Linked DNA regions of Callithrix jacchus. The protein of the gene in region 2 purifies or fractionates together with the protein of the main gene of each other region. This does not show direct contact. Links are inferred from orthologs where the notes say so. Each region holds a gene or a part of one and is shown on either strand. Other genes may lie near its edges.

What was found.
Region 1: the proteins of AP2S1 (region 2) and BMP2K purify together in Homo sapiens (affinity purification with mass spectrometry; 4 studies listed by BioGRID and IntAct, counting the BioPlex papers as one, with this or other methods). This does not show direct contact. The link is inferred for Callithrix jacchus from reciprocal best matches to the Homo sapiens genes AP2S1 and BMP2K.
Region 3: the proteins of AP2S1 (region 2) and NECAP2 purify together in Homo sapiens (affinity purification with mass spectrometry; 3 studies listed by BioGRID and IntAct, counting the BioPlex papers as one, with this or other methods). This does not show direct contact. The link is inferred for Callithrix jacchus from reciprocal best matches to the Homo sapiens genes AP2S1 and NECAP2.

Annotation. Positions count from the first base shown.
Region 1 is NC_133504.1:119,219,073-119,223,398, forward strand, and holds the start of BMP2K (BMP-2-inducible protein kinase), read right to left. Parts: upstream 2,803-4,326; coding exon 2,631-2,802; exon of another isoform or gene 2,314-2,630; intron 1-2,313. Other genes in the region: uncharacterized protein LOC128931603, read left to right, coding at 2,801-3,358. UniProt on the Homo sapiens protein: May be involved in osteoblast differentiation.
Region 2 is NC_133523.1:40,819,958-40,824,192, forward strand, and holds the start of AP2S1 (AP-2 complex subunit sigma), read right to left. Parts: upstream 2,821-4,235; 5' UTR 2,740-2,820; coding exon of another isoform or gene 2,737-2,739; 5' UTR 1,458-2,736; coding exon 1,326-1,457; intron 1-1,325. UniProt on the Homo sapiens protein: Component of the adaptor protein complex 2 (AP-2). Adaptor protein complexes function in protein transport via transport vesicles in different membrane traffic pathways.
Region 3 is NC_133508.1:53,756,580-53,760,146, forward strand, and holds part of NECAP2 (adaptin ear-binding coat-associated protein 2), read left to right. Parts: intron 1-513; coding exon 514-614; intron 615-3,567. UniProt on the Homo sapiens protein: Involved in endocytosis.

The DNA.
Region 1 (4,326 bases), on a different chromosome or scaffold from region 2:
TAATAAATCAACCAAATATATTAAATAAGGTGTGTTTAAACTGCAATACACACAAAACAAGGTTGTATGTTAATGAGCTGACAAAAATGTTGAGAACAGAGGCTCTCAAGAACCTAACACTGTAGTAGGAGCAACGGTTCAAGATTTGCTAATTCAGTTTTCACAGTGACTTTCTGGAACATAACTAATTATATACAAATAACAAGAGAAAGAGAGACACAGACTGACTTACTGAAAAGATACTACAGAGGTCATTATGAGTAAGCTACCAATGTTTGTAGGAGCATGGCAAAAACACTTCAGGGCACAGAATCTGTTAGGTCTTCCTGGCTCTGTTTAAACAACTTAGGCCAAAGCAAAAAAATGCAAAATCTACCAAGTTTGTGTTTCGGGTTGTCTTAGCTTCTACCACTTTTCCTACTCAATGGTAAGCCTCTCCCCAAATCAAGTACTCTAAACTTTAATGCATTTTCACAAGCATTTGGCCCAATTTTACAATCAAGCACACCCATCAACTATTGATTAATCACACTTAAATGTGAACTAGACTTGTGCTTAAACATCTTGGCTAAATTGCAGCATTATTTATTTGGAAGGGAGAGGGGATATTAAGCAACTGAAATAAGAACAGACCAGCCAGGATCAAAAAGTAAACTGATTATACATAGACAATTCCAGTTGTGAGTGTGCTGGAGAGAGAACAAAAATACACAAGGGAAGAAAACCTAGGCTTTGGCCTCCCCTCCAGGATATTAAAGCTGGGGTATAGGATGGAGAAGTCCCATCTTCCAAAAGGATTTCTTCAGCCCTTGCATCCTCCTAGCACTTGACTATTGATTTTTCAAGAGAAATGATGAATTTATGGTAAAACTCAATATGGAACACTCTAACAGTGACATTAGCGCTTGAAACAAATTTTCATTCTTTGCTGTGGTTGAATCAACTCTCCTTTTGAAATTCATCTTTATTTTTTATTTTCCAAAGTTTTTTTTTAATTGAAAATGGTTTGCTTAGGGTAGTGATAGGATATGCTTAGGGTAGTGAGTGATACAAATTCAAAATCTAGTTTGTGAAATGTCAATATATATATTTTTTCTATTAAAAAGACCCATCTGGGATTTAGTGGAATGAAGTGAGCGTTAACACTACCCAAGCTACACTTCAATTAGTTACTAAAACAATTCAAAGACAATATATGACATTTGACTTAATAGACATGTGTTCTTAACACCTAAAACATATTGTAAACCAACAATTGAAATTCATGTGTAATAAAGAGCTAGAAAACTTTATAGTATAGTAAATCTTTTATAGACCACTCACCACATATTCATTCTTGTGAAAAACTAAGGATCCTCCTTCTCCCACCTCTCTAAGTTTCGGCTAAGATCATTATTCTGAGCAATGATATGTACACCTGAATAATTCACAATTTCTTTCTCTTTCGAATACTTTATACAAAAATCTTCAGGTTTTTCTCTTGTGCTAATTTACCGTTGTTCACAGCATTTCAAAAAATACGAGTGGAACTTCAATCTACTCTTTTCAAACCACATCAACGTCTCTCAGAGAACTGAATCCACTCTTCGATTTCTTTTATCTTAACCATAGAACTTACAAGGGCCATTTATCAACAAAATGTATTTCTTAAGAATTTTTTAAGGTTTTTATTTTTTAATATCATTTTGCAATTAAAAACTCACAGACCAATGAAGCATGCAGTACACAGGGAAAGTGTTTTCTACAAGGCAATTATACCAGAAATACAACACTAAAGTCTAAGTTCTTCTTTTAATATGGAATATTAAAAGAAATAAATTTTTCTTTTAATATGGAGTATTAAAATAAATTCTTTTTGTAAGTAGACTTCTGCCTACCGTCATAACCTGCTCCAGATCCTGAAGAACCGACCGCAAAACTTCACAAGTGAAAATTAACCTGCTTTCATATCACCTTTTAAACCACTATCAAAGTCATATTGAGAGGGCATGAATTACACCTTGTCCAACAGAGAAGATTCTAAATAACAAAGATAAATGGGCTTCAAATTTACCTGTTTCCCAGTGCAACCTACTAACTGAATTTAAAGGATCACCTCCAACATGCACACATGCACACATATACACTGTTTTTCAACAGATGGCTGAGCTGCAGCAAACCCGGGATCGACAACAGGGGCTTTAGGGTCCTATGCCCTGCAGCGCGGGTGGAGGCTCGGACGAAGAGGCCAACGCATGACACCCGTCTGAGCCACAGCTGGCAGAACAGAGCTTCAATCCTGTTTGATCTGACCCTCTAATGAGTCACTGTCCCAATCATAACACCACCCCACTTCCTAGCGCGTCTTCTATCTATTTTCTCGCGTCAAAACGGATAGAAATTGACTTAAACTCGGCATGAGAGAACTAAACTCGGCATGAGAGAACTGTGCACCGGCCAGAGCTGCCAGCGGCAAGAAAAGCCAGCTGAAAAGAGAAAGCCCGAGCCACTCTTTTAAGAGCCCCGCTGGCCCGGCAGCGGAGGAAGAACGGCGTACAAGAGTCAGTGCAGAGGGCGAAGACCCGGAGAAGCCGCCGCCACACCCCAGCCCTCCCTCACCTGCCTGTCCAAGCCTCCCCGGGCACCCGTACCTTCGGCCAGCGACTCTTCCAGGGTGACCTGGTAGCGGCCGACCGCGAACACCCGGACCCCCACGGACGAGCCGCCGGAGCCACAGCTGGTCACAGCGCCGCCAGCCCCGCCACCCGCCGCTCCGCCGCCGCTGCCGCCCTCCGACTTGGGCATCCGAGAGAACTTCTTCATGGTCCCGCCCGCGCGGGGAGCGCGCAAGGGCGACCAAGAGCGCGAGTCCCCAGCCCAGCGCGCAGCCGGGCGTCAGGGAGGGGTCGCCGCCCCGAGCCGGTCCGAGCGTCCGAGCGCGTTGCGGCCCGCCAAGCCTCACATTCCGTGCTCCCCGAGCGCACAGCCCCGGCCCCGGTCGCCCGCTCCGCGGCTCGGCTGCAGCTGCCAGGCTCCCGCAGACGGCGGTGGAGAGGGCGGGGACGGGACGGGACGGGGCGGGGCGGGGCACGAGGGGGCGGGTCCGAGTGCAGAGGCAATGCCGCCGCCTCCGCTAGTGCCCTGGGCGTCCCCGCTGCCTCACTCTGCGCCTGAAGCGCGCGAGCCCGGGTGGAGGGAGGGAGCAAGGGAGACGGGGAAGGGGGCGGGGCGGCCGGCCTCTCCAGGCAGGAGGCTGGACGTCTCAGGCCGCAAGCTGGCAGGACCGCAGCCCGCCGCACCGCCGCTGCCCCCGTCAGACCCGAGTCGCCCGCCACTCGCGGCCGTTGACGGGGCAGCGCTGCCGCCAACCGCTCACTGAGGCTGGTCGCCCAGCGCAGGCGCGCTGCCCGCGCCGCCGGAAGTGACGGTTCCGCCTCTTGTCACGTGGAGGGGGACCACGGGAGGTGATTGTGGGGGTTGGGGACGAGGGCAAAGTCGGGGATCCTGGGTCCAGGGTTGCGCCGGGAGGGTACTGGCTAGGCCCGGCTTCGGCCTGGGAGGTGGCCCAGGGACTGGCTCCTAGTCCAGCGCCCTGATCCATCATCTCGCCTGAGAGTCGCTATGTCACTCTCGGGGCTTAAAAATGCCGCCAACAACTTTACCTCTGCTAAGGAACTTCTCGCTTCCTTTCTTAGCCAGTTGTTCAGGCCTTCTCCCCTGAGAACCTTCTTCCGCTCGCCCACCCTGACGTGGGAGGTGGGAGCAGGACGGAACTGGAGTGGATTCCAGTAACTGGGTTTCTAAAGCCGACTCGGTGTTGTCGCGCTCTGTAGCGGACGCTTGTGCTGGGAAGCGTTTTGCAGTTTATAAATTACTTAGGAGTACTTTAAACACCTCACGCCTGCTGTACAACAGCCATATGTGGGTATTCAGAGCAGGTATTAAGGCCGTTTCATAGACCATCACCTTTGGCTAAAAGAACGGAGTCTCCCAAAGTCACAGCTGGTACGTGGTAGTTAGGGACCATTATTTGATTCATAATTTTGTGCTTCTGGCCGTCCTGAAAAAGTAGGTTAGGGTCAGATCGTCGAAAAATGGGCAGATATAGGGCTGTTTGGAAGCAAAAGCAACCACTGTGTCCCCTTCTTGAAGAGATTCGCCTCCCCCCAACCAAAAATAAAAAAGCCTCGTTGCATCAGTTTCATAAACCGCAGGAGTCTCCTGACTGCAGGGCGAAGCAGTAAAACAAATACGGGTGTAAAACGTTTCAGGATTGGTAGGTAATAACAAACTGTAGGACATGTGTAAAGAGAGCAGCCAGTTCTCAGCTGCAGCCTACTTTTCCAC
Region 2 (4,235 bases):
CAGGAGAATTGCTTCAATCCAGGAGGCAGAGGGTGTAGTAAGCTGAGATGGCACCACTGCACTCCAGCCTGGGTGAAAGAACTAGACTGTCTCAAAAAAAAAAAAAAAAAAGAATAGAGGTGTAGTACAGTGACTAGTACAAAGTGTTAGATAAGTACCAGCTCAGCTGGGCGCAGTGGCTCACACCTGTAACCAGCACTTTGGGAGGCTGAGGCGGGCGGATCACCTGAGGTCAGGAGTTTGAGACCAGCCTGGCCAATATGGTGAAACCCCATCTTTATCTTTATTTAAAATTAAACAAAAAAAATAAGTACCAGCTCTTGGGCCAGGTGTGGTGGCTCACACCGGTAATCCTAGCATTTTAGGAGGCTGAGGCAGGTGGATCCCTGAGATCAGGAGTTCGAGACCAGCCTGGCCAACAGGGCGAAACCCTGTCTCTACTAAAAATACAAAAAAAAAAAAAAAAAAAAAAAAAAAGAAAGAAAAAATTTGGCTGGGTGTGGTGGCACATGCCTGTAATCCCAGCTACTTGGGAGGCGAAGGCAGGAGAATCGCTTGAACCCAGGAGGCGGAGGTTACAGTGAGCCAAGATCGCGCCACTGTACTCCAGCATGGATGACAAAGCGAGGCTCCCTCTCAAAAAAAAAAAAAAAAGTACCAGCTCTTAGCAGCATCACGTTTCATTATGTGATTTTCAGAAAACCAGGGGCCAAGCTTACCCTGCTGGAAGCTCTGGGCCCACTTCTGTCTGAGACAGGCATGCTTACGCCCATTTTATAGATGAGGAAACTGAGATTCAGGGAAAGGAAGTCTCACAGCCAGAAAGCAGAGGTGGGAGTCCAAAGGCTTTGCTCTGAACCCCTGACCGAACTTGTGGGAGCCTCTTCTCTTAGGAAAGAGAATCCTCTTGTCCTGTCCTTTTGTGTGTGTGTTGGGGAGGGGGGGGTGGTCAGAGTCTCACTCTGTTACCTAGGCTGGAGTGCAGTGGCACGGTCTCAGCTCACTGCAGCCTCCACCACCCGGGTTCAAGCGATTCTTCTGCCTCAGCCTCCCAAGTAGCTGGGATTACAGACGTCCACCACCACGCCTGGCTAATTTTTGTATTTTTAGTAGAGATGGGGTTTCACCATGTTGGCCAGGCTGGTCTTGAACTCCTGACCTCCTGTGACCCACCTATCTTGGCCTCCCAAAGTGCTGGGATTACAGGCATGAGTCACCGCCCAAGGTTGAGAGTCTTCTCTTAGGAAAGAGAATTCACTCTTTTTCTCCACACACTCTATCCTCCCTCCCCCAACCAACCAAACTGGACAGGAACAGGATATTACACTCTTCTTCCAAGAACTCCTTCTGCTGAGCCAGAGAAAACCACTTCCTAGCAGTGCAAGGGTCCCGGGCAGGAAGGGACGTTTTAGGACCCACACAAGGTAGCTACAGCCTAGAAGCAGAGCCAGAGACATGAACACAGAAGAAGGGGAACTAGAGGCAAACCCACAGAGTTGACAAAACACTCTGCCTCTTACTCCCAAACTCCCTGGTATACTTCTTCCTGTTTTCTTCCCACCTGGAATCTCTCCTCCTCAAGGACTCTACCCTGAGAAGTCCCCTCTGTCCTGAATCCCTGCATCCTCGAGCCTCTGCTGTTCCCTCTAGATGCCCCCCAACCTTCCTTGTCTCCAATCCTCCTCCTCTGGAGTTGTTCCCTTTTGACCTCCACTTTCCCAGTCTCAGTTCCCCTCCTTGGGGCCTCAGTGGGCTTTTTAATTGGTGACATGCCTTGTTCCATTCCCAGGTCTCCTCCCTTCTTCAAAAGGTCATATTTTGCCTCCAAGGACCCTGTTCCTGGAGGAGACTCCGCTCCCGGCTCTGACACCCTTTCCAAACTTCCGGCCCAAACAACCCTTTTCTAGATCCAAAGCCCCAGCCTGGGTGTCAGGGACACTCCGAAATTCAATGTCCAGTCTTTGCCCCAACAAAGATCCCTCCCCAGATCTCACACTTCCAAGCCTATTCCCCACCCCTCAAGATCTCTCCTCTTGGAAAGACCTATTCAATTGCTATTCAACATCTATTCAGCTGCTCCCCATTCATTCCTAGTGTTCATCTTACCTCCAGGCCCTCACTTCTTGTACAGCGCTTTCCCTGACCCTTAAGTCTCACTCCCTACAGTTGCCTACTTCTGGCTTCCTGTGCCGGGTCTCTTCTCCTTGAGATGAACCCTCTCTCATAGGCAGTCTCCTGACCCTGGTTCAACATCCCCTCTCCACCTGCAATCGAATCCTTGTCTCTAGAGACTCCTCACACCAAGAAAACCTCCCTTCCCTGTTCCAAGGTCCCCGTTCTTGTCCAGCGCTCCCACCACACTCCCAGAGCGCCTTCCTTTTTGGGAAGCCTCCTCCCCACCTCCAATGCCTTCTCGCAACCCCCAAGACCGTGCCTTGCGAGTTTCCTCCCGTTTCAAAGCTCCCAACCATCTACGATGTCTCCCACCTGCACAGCCCTTTCCCTTTGGAACCGCACCCCCAATGCCCCTCCCCGCGAGACCCCTGGTGACCCCCACGCAGAGAATCCCCGCCCTGTGTCCTCCTTCCCGGCCCTGGATCGGCCCCAATCCCCAGAGCCCGCGTCCGGCCCAGACCATCCGCGGCAGAGGAGGGGCTTGTCAGCGCCCGATCGAGCCTCGGCTATTTACATGTGCATTTCCCTCCGCCAGTCCCCGGCGTAGAGCGCCCCCGTTACCATGGCTACCCCCGTCCGGACCCCAGCGGCCCCGTTCCCGCGGCGACTGGGCAGCTCCGGCTCAGGGTGCAGTTGGGGGGCCCTGAGCTAGAGCGGACTTCCGGCAGAAAAACCCGCCTGCCCTCTCGCGCACAGACCGCTGGGAATTGTAGTTTCACCAATGGGGCCAGCCTGGGTGAAGATGGGTGAAGAGGCAAGAGCCCGTCCTTTTCCTACCAAACGAGTAGGATCACAGGTGCATGCTGGGATTTGTGGACCAACATCTTTATATAGGACTACAATTCCCGAGATACTAAACAGCCAGCGGTGCAGGCGTTGCATTCGAGGAAATGTAGTTCTACTAGGCCCCACCCTCCACCCAGGGGAGAAGGGCATGCTGGGAATAGTAGTTTTAAAATTTTTAAAACTGTTCTGGGGAGCTAGAAAATCTTTCCATTCCTCATCCAGTGCTTTCTATAATTTTTAAAAAAATAAAAACAGGGATCTAGATATATTGCCTAGGTTAATCTCGAACTCCTGGCTTCAAGCCACACTCAGCCTCCCAAATCACGGGAATTACAAACATGAGCCACCACCACACCAGGTCAGTGCTTTGCTTAAAATATGTTGCGTGTGTCTCTCGGGAGACAACAGTTTAAGAGCATGAATTTGGACCGACCGGGCCCGGGGGCTCACGCCTGTAATCCCAGCACTTTGGGAGGCAGATCATGAGGTCAGGAGTTGCCTGGCCAGCATGGTGAAACCCCATCTCTACTTCGTCTCAAAAAATAATAATTATTATTATGTAAATTTCAGATATGGTGGCAGAATAACCAACACATAGTTATGAGATATTGCAGGGGCAAAAAGAAGCCAGAGATCATTTCTGTCTTGTGTGCTTTTCCGTCTCCAACAGGGCTGATACTAGGATGACATTAAGCAAAGTGTCCAGGTTGCAAAGTTTCTGAAAGGACCTCACTCTTCCATGCCAATTCCTCTCTTAAACAGGACTGAGAGTACATGCCTCATTCTATTTTGTGCCCTGAACACGTCACTTGCTTCCCCTTAGTCCCAGTCCTAATCTCCAGTGCTCAACTTAATACTGGGCACAAGTGTGGTGGCCAATAAGTATTTGTTGAATGGGCTGGGTGAGGTGGTTCATGCCTGTAGTCCCAGCACTTTGGGTGGCTGAGGTGGGTGGATCACGAGGTCAGGAGTTCAAGACCGACCTGGCCAATATGGTGAAACCCCTTCTCTGCTAAAATTACAAAAATTAGCTGGGCGTGGTGGTGCACACCTGTAATCCCAGTTACTTGGAAGGCTAAGGCAGGAGAATCTCTTGAACCCGGGAGCAGAGGTTGCAGTGAGCCGAGATCGTGCCACTATACTCCAGCCTGGGCAAAAGAGCAAGACTCCATCTCAAAAAAAAAAAAGAAAGAAAAAGAAAAAACATTTGTTGAATGAAGGAATGCATTTTCAGCAAGAGAGTAGGCACTGCCCCCACCCTCACAGCATTCACA
Region 3 (3,567 bases), on a different chromosome or scaffold from region 2:
AAAAGAAACAGAAACAGAAACAGGTTTCTGCAGCTGCTTCCTCTACAGAAAGGAAACCGGAAGGAAGTCCTATCCGGAGGAGGACTCTGGTCTAGAGAATGGGTCCTCCATCGACAACCTACTGTGTTTTTGTATGGCTCATACCTAAGAATGGTTTTTATATTTTTTCAATGGTTTGGAAAATTTTTAAAGGAGAATATTTCAAACTGAGAACATTATATGAATTTCAGGTTTCAGTGTCTACAATTTGATTGAAATACAGCTGTGCTCAGTAGAAAATATTCATTCAAGATACCTAAAGCATCAACATGTGCATGTACCATATTGCTTTTACAGCAGAGATGCCTTGTGGCAGGCTGTGTTGCCTGAAAAGCCAAAGATATTTACTGTCTGACCCTTTACAGAAAATGTCTGCCAACCCTTGGGCTAGAACAAGTAGCCCTTTCCATCCTCAGCATTGGGGTCATGAAGCAGGAGCCTCTGGCAGAGGTTCAGTGGTGTTTGTCTCTTCAGGGCCGCGGAGTGGCAGCTGGACCAGCCGTCATGGAGTGGCCGGCTGAGGATCACTGCAAAGGGGCAGATGGCCTACATCAAGCTGGAGGACAGGACCTCAGGTAACCGCAAGGGAGGCCGCTCCAAGCTGAGGGATTGCACTCCCACTTTATGAAGGGAGAGTTGGCCTGGTCTGGCCAGGCTGCTCAGGAGTCATGGGAACCTGTCCTGAAAGTCAGAAATGTGTGTATACCTTTAAGCTGTACCATTCCCTCACCTTAGTTGTAGAATGTACTGTCCCCAGGTGTACAAACGAGTATTTCCTGTTAAGCACCAGTTCTTTTTAGGAGTCCTCAGGAAAATGCGGAGGCCAAGGAAAGGAGACTGCAGCTTGGTCTGGGTAGGAAGTAGGAAGCCCTGGAATTGGCCTTGAAGACAGTCGGGGTAAAGATGCACAGCCTCTACCGCTGGGCTCTGCTTCCTACAGAGGAATTGTTTATCAGCGAAGCTCCCAGAGCTGACCACACCCATTCACTGAAGGAGCTGAAAACTGTCCTACTCAGCTCTTTCTGTAGGGAGAGGACAGGCCGAGGTGGGTCATGTTGGGGTCAGCTGGCAGAGATCGTCTTGAGGGAAACTTCACAGGTCCTGGGCCACCAGTGCCTCTGGGTGAGCTGTGGACGGCAATACCTCTGGAGTACCCCTCGCTGCCACCCCGAGTGGGGTCGGACATAGTGCTGGCCCAGTCAGGTGCCACAACGTTCAGTCATTTTTTTTTTAATCTGTAGAGATTTTCCTTTGTAGAGCAGAAGAAAGTGCAAAAGTTTAGAGACAGAACTGGCTGCCTCTTCTCAGAACTATGTTCTGCCGGAGCTGCTGGACATTGGGTGAGCCATGTGACCTCTGGAGCCTTGGCTTCCTTCTTGTTGAAATGAGGATCATGTTAGTTACTCCTTCATAAAATTGTTGGAGATAGGAAGTGAGCAGATACTTATCTGATTGCTTTATGAGCCGCAAGGCAACCCAAAGCATTGATGTGTTCTTTGGGAACTTGCGTTCTGGCGGCAGAGGAGTTTGAAGAGGCAGCTGCCATGGCCAGACCAGAGGATTTTAGCTAGAGAATTGCTGGGATATCCCAGGTAGTGTCATGAGAGAATGGTAACACCTCTTGTTCTCTGGGGAATTTGGGAACTGTGACTTTAACATGACTACCTAATGTAACAGCCACTGCCCAGGGCTTAGCCTGCCCTGTGGGACCCACCCCAAGGTGGTCTTTGCTTAAGGTCATACCTGGATCACGTTAGTCTCTGACCTTCCCATGAGGTAATGAGCATATCACTCTAGGCCAGGCTTTCTCAGCCTCGGCACTGTTGACATTTGGGGCCAGATGGGTCTTTGTTTTGGAGAGCTGTGGAGCCCAATGAGGATATTTAGCAGCACCCCCCAAGTTGTGTCAATCAAAATTATCTCTAAACATTTCTAGATGTCTCTTGGGGACAGGGGAGCAAAATTGCCCCTGCTTGAGAACTGCTGTAGGCTGAAGGTATCTTGGTGAGGTTGGAACAGAAGGCAAATAAATTTGACAAGCTGCAGATTCTAGGGCTGTTGGTTTTGAATCAGTTCAGCCTTGATTACAAAATTACCTCTAGGCAGGGCATGGTAGCTCATGCCTATAATCCCAGCACTTCAGGAGGCCAAGACAGGTGGATTACTTGAGCCCAGGAATTCCAGACCAGCCTGGGCAATATGACAAAACACTGTCTCTAATAAAAATACAAAAATTAGCCAGGCGTGGTGGTGCACACCTGTGATCCCAGCTACTTCAGAGGCTGAGGCACAAGAATCACTTGAACCAAGGAGGTGTATGTTGCAATGAGCTGAGATTTTGCCACTGTACTCCAGCCTGGGTGACAGAGCAAGACTGTTTGAAAAAGAAAACAAAAACCCAAAAAACAAAGTTACCTCTAAACCACAGGACTCAGTAGAAGGTATTTGGTTAAATACCTAAAGCACCAGCCAGGTGTGACTCATGCCTATAATCCTAGGGCTTTGAGAGACCAAAGTGGGAGGATCACTTGAGGCCAGGAGTTAGCAGCCTGGACAACATATCAAGACTCTATCTCTAATAAAATAAATTGAGTGGACATGGTGGTATGTGCCTATATTCCCAGCTACTCGAGAGGCTGAAGCAGGAAGATTACTTGAGCCCAGGGGTCGAGGCTACAGTGAACTATGATCCGCTGCACACTGCACTCCAACCTGGGCAACAGAGCATGACCCTGTTTCTTTCTTTCTTTCTTTCTTTTTTTTTTTTTTGGTCACCCTGGCTGGAGTGCAGTGGCGCAATCTCAGCTCACTGCATCCTCCAACTCTCCTGGGGTTAAGGGATCCTCCTGCCTTAGTCCCCCAGGGAGCTGGGACTAAATGTGCATGCCACCATGCTTGGCTAATTTTTATATTTTTTGTAGAGACCGGGTTTCCCCATATTGCTCATGCTGGTCTCAAATTCCTGGGCTTGGCTGGGTGCAGTGGCTCATGCCTGTAATCCCAGCACTTTGGGAGGCTGAGGTGGGTGGATCACTTGAGGTCAGGAGTTCAAGGCCAGCCTGGCCAACATGGTGAAACCCCACCTCTACTAAAAATACAAAAATTAGCCGGGTGCAGTGACAGGCACCTGGTTAAATTCAGACAATTGAATCTAAAACTCCGCTGCTCGGGAGATTGAGGCAGGAGAATTGTTTGAACCTGGCAGGCAGAGGTTGCAGTGAGCTGAGATCACGCCACTGCAATCCAGCCTGGGCGATAGGGCGAGATTCCATCTCAGGGAAAAAAAAAAAAAGGTATAAATCAAATTTCTGGTCTCAAGCAACATACCCATACCCGCAGTGCTGGGACCATACCCAGTTCATGACCCTATATCTAAAAGACAAAACAAAAAATACTAAAAGCACTAACAGAGGTCAGCACATGCAAAAAACTGATGCCAGTCATAAATGCTCATGGAAGTTTTACGTTGCACTGCGCCTGTCGAGTGCTGTAGTTGACAAGGTGATGTGTTTCACAAAGGATCCTTTT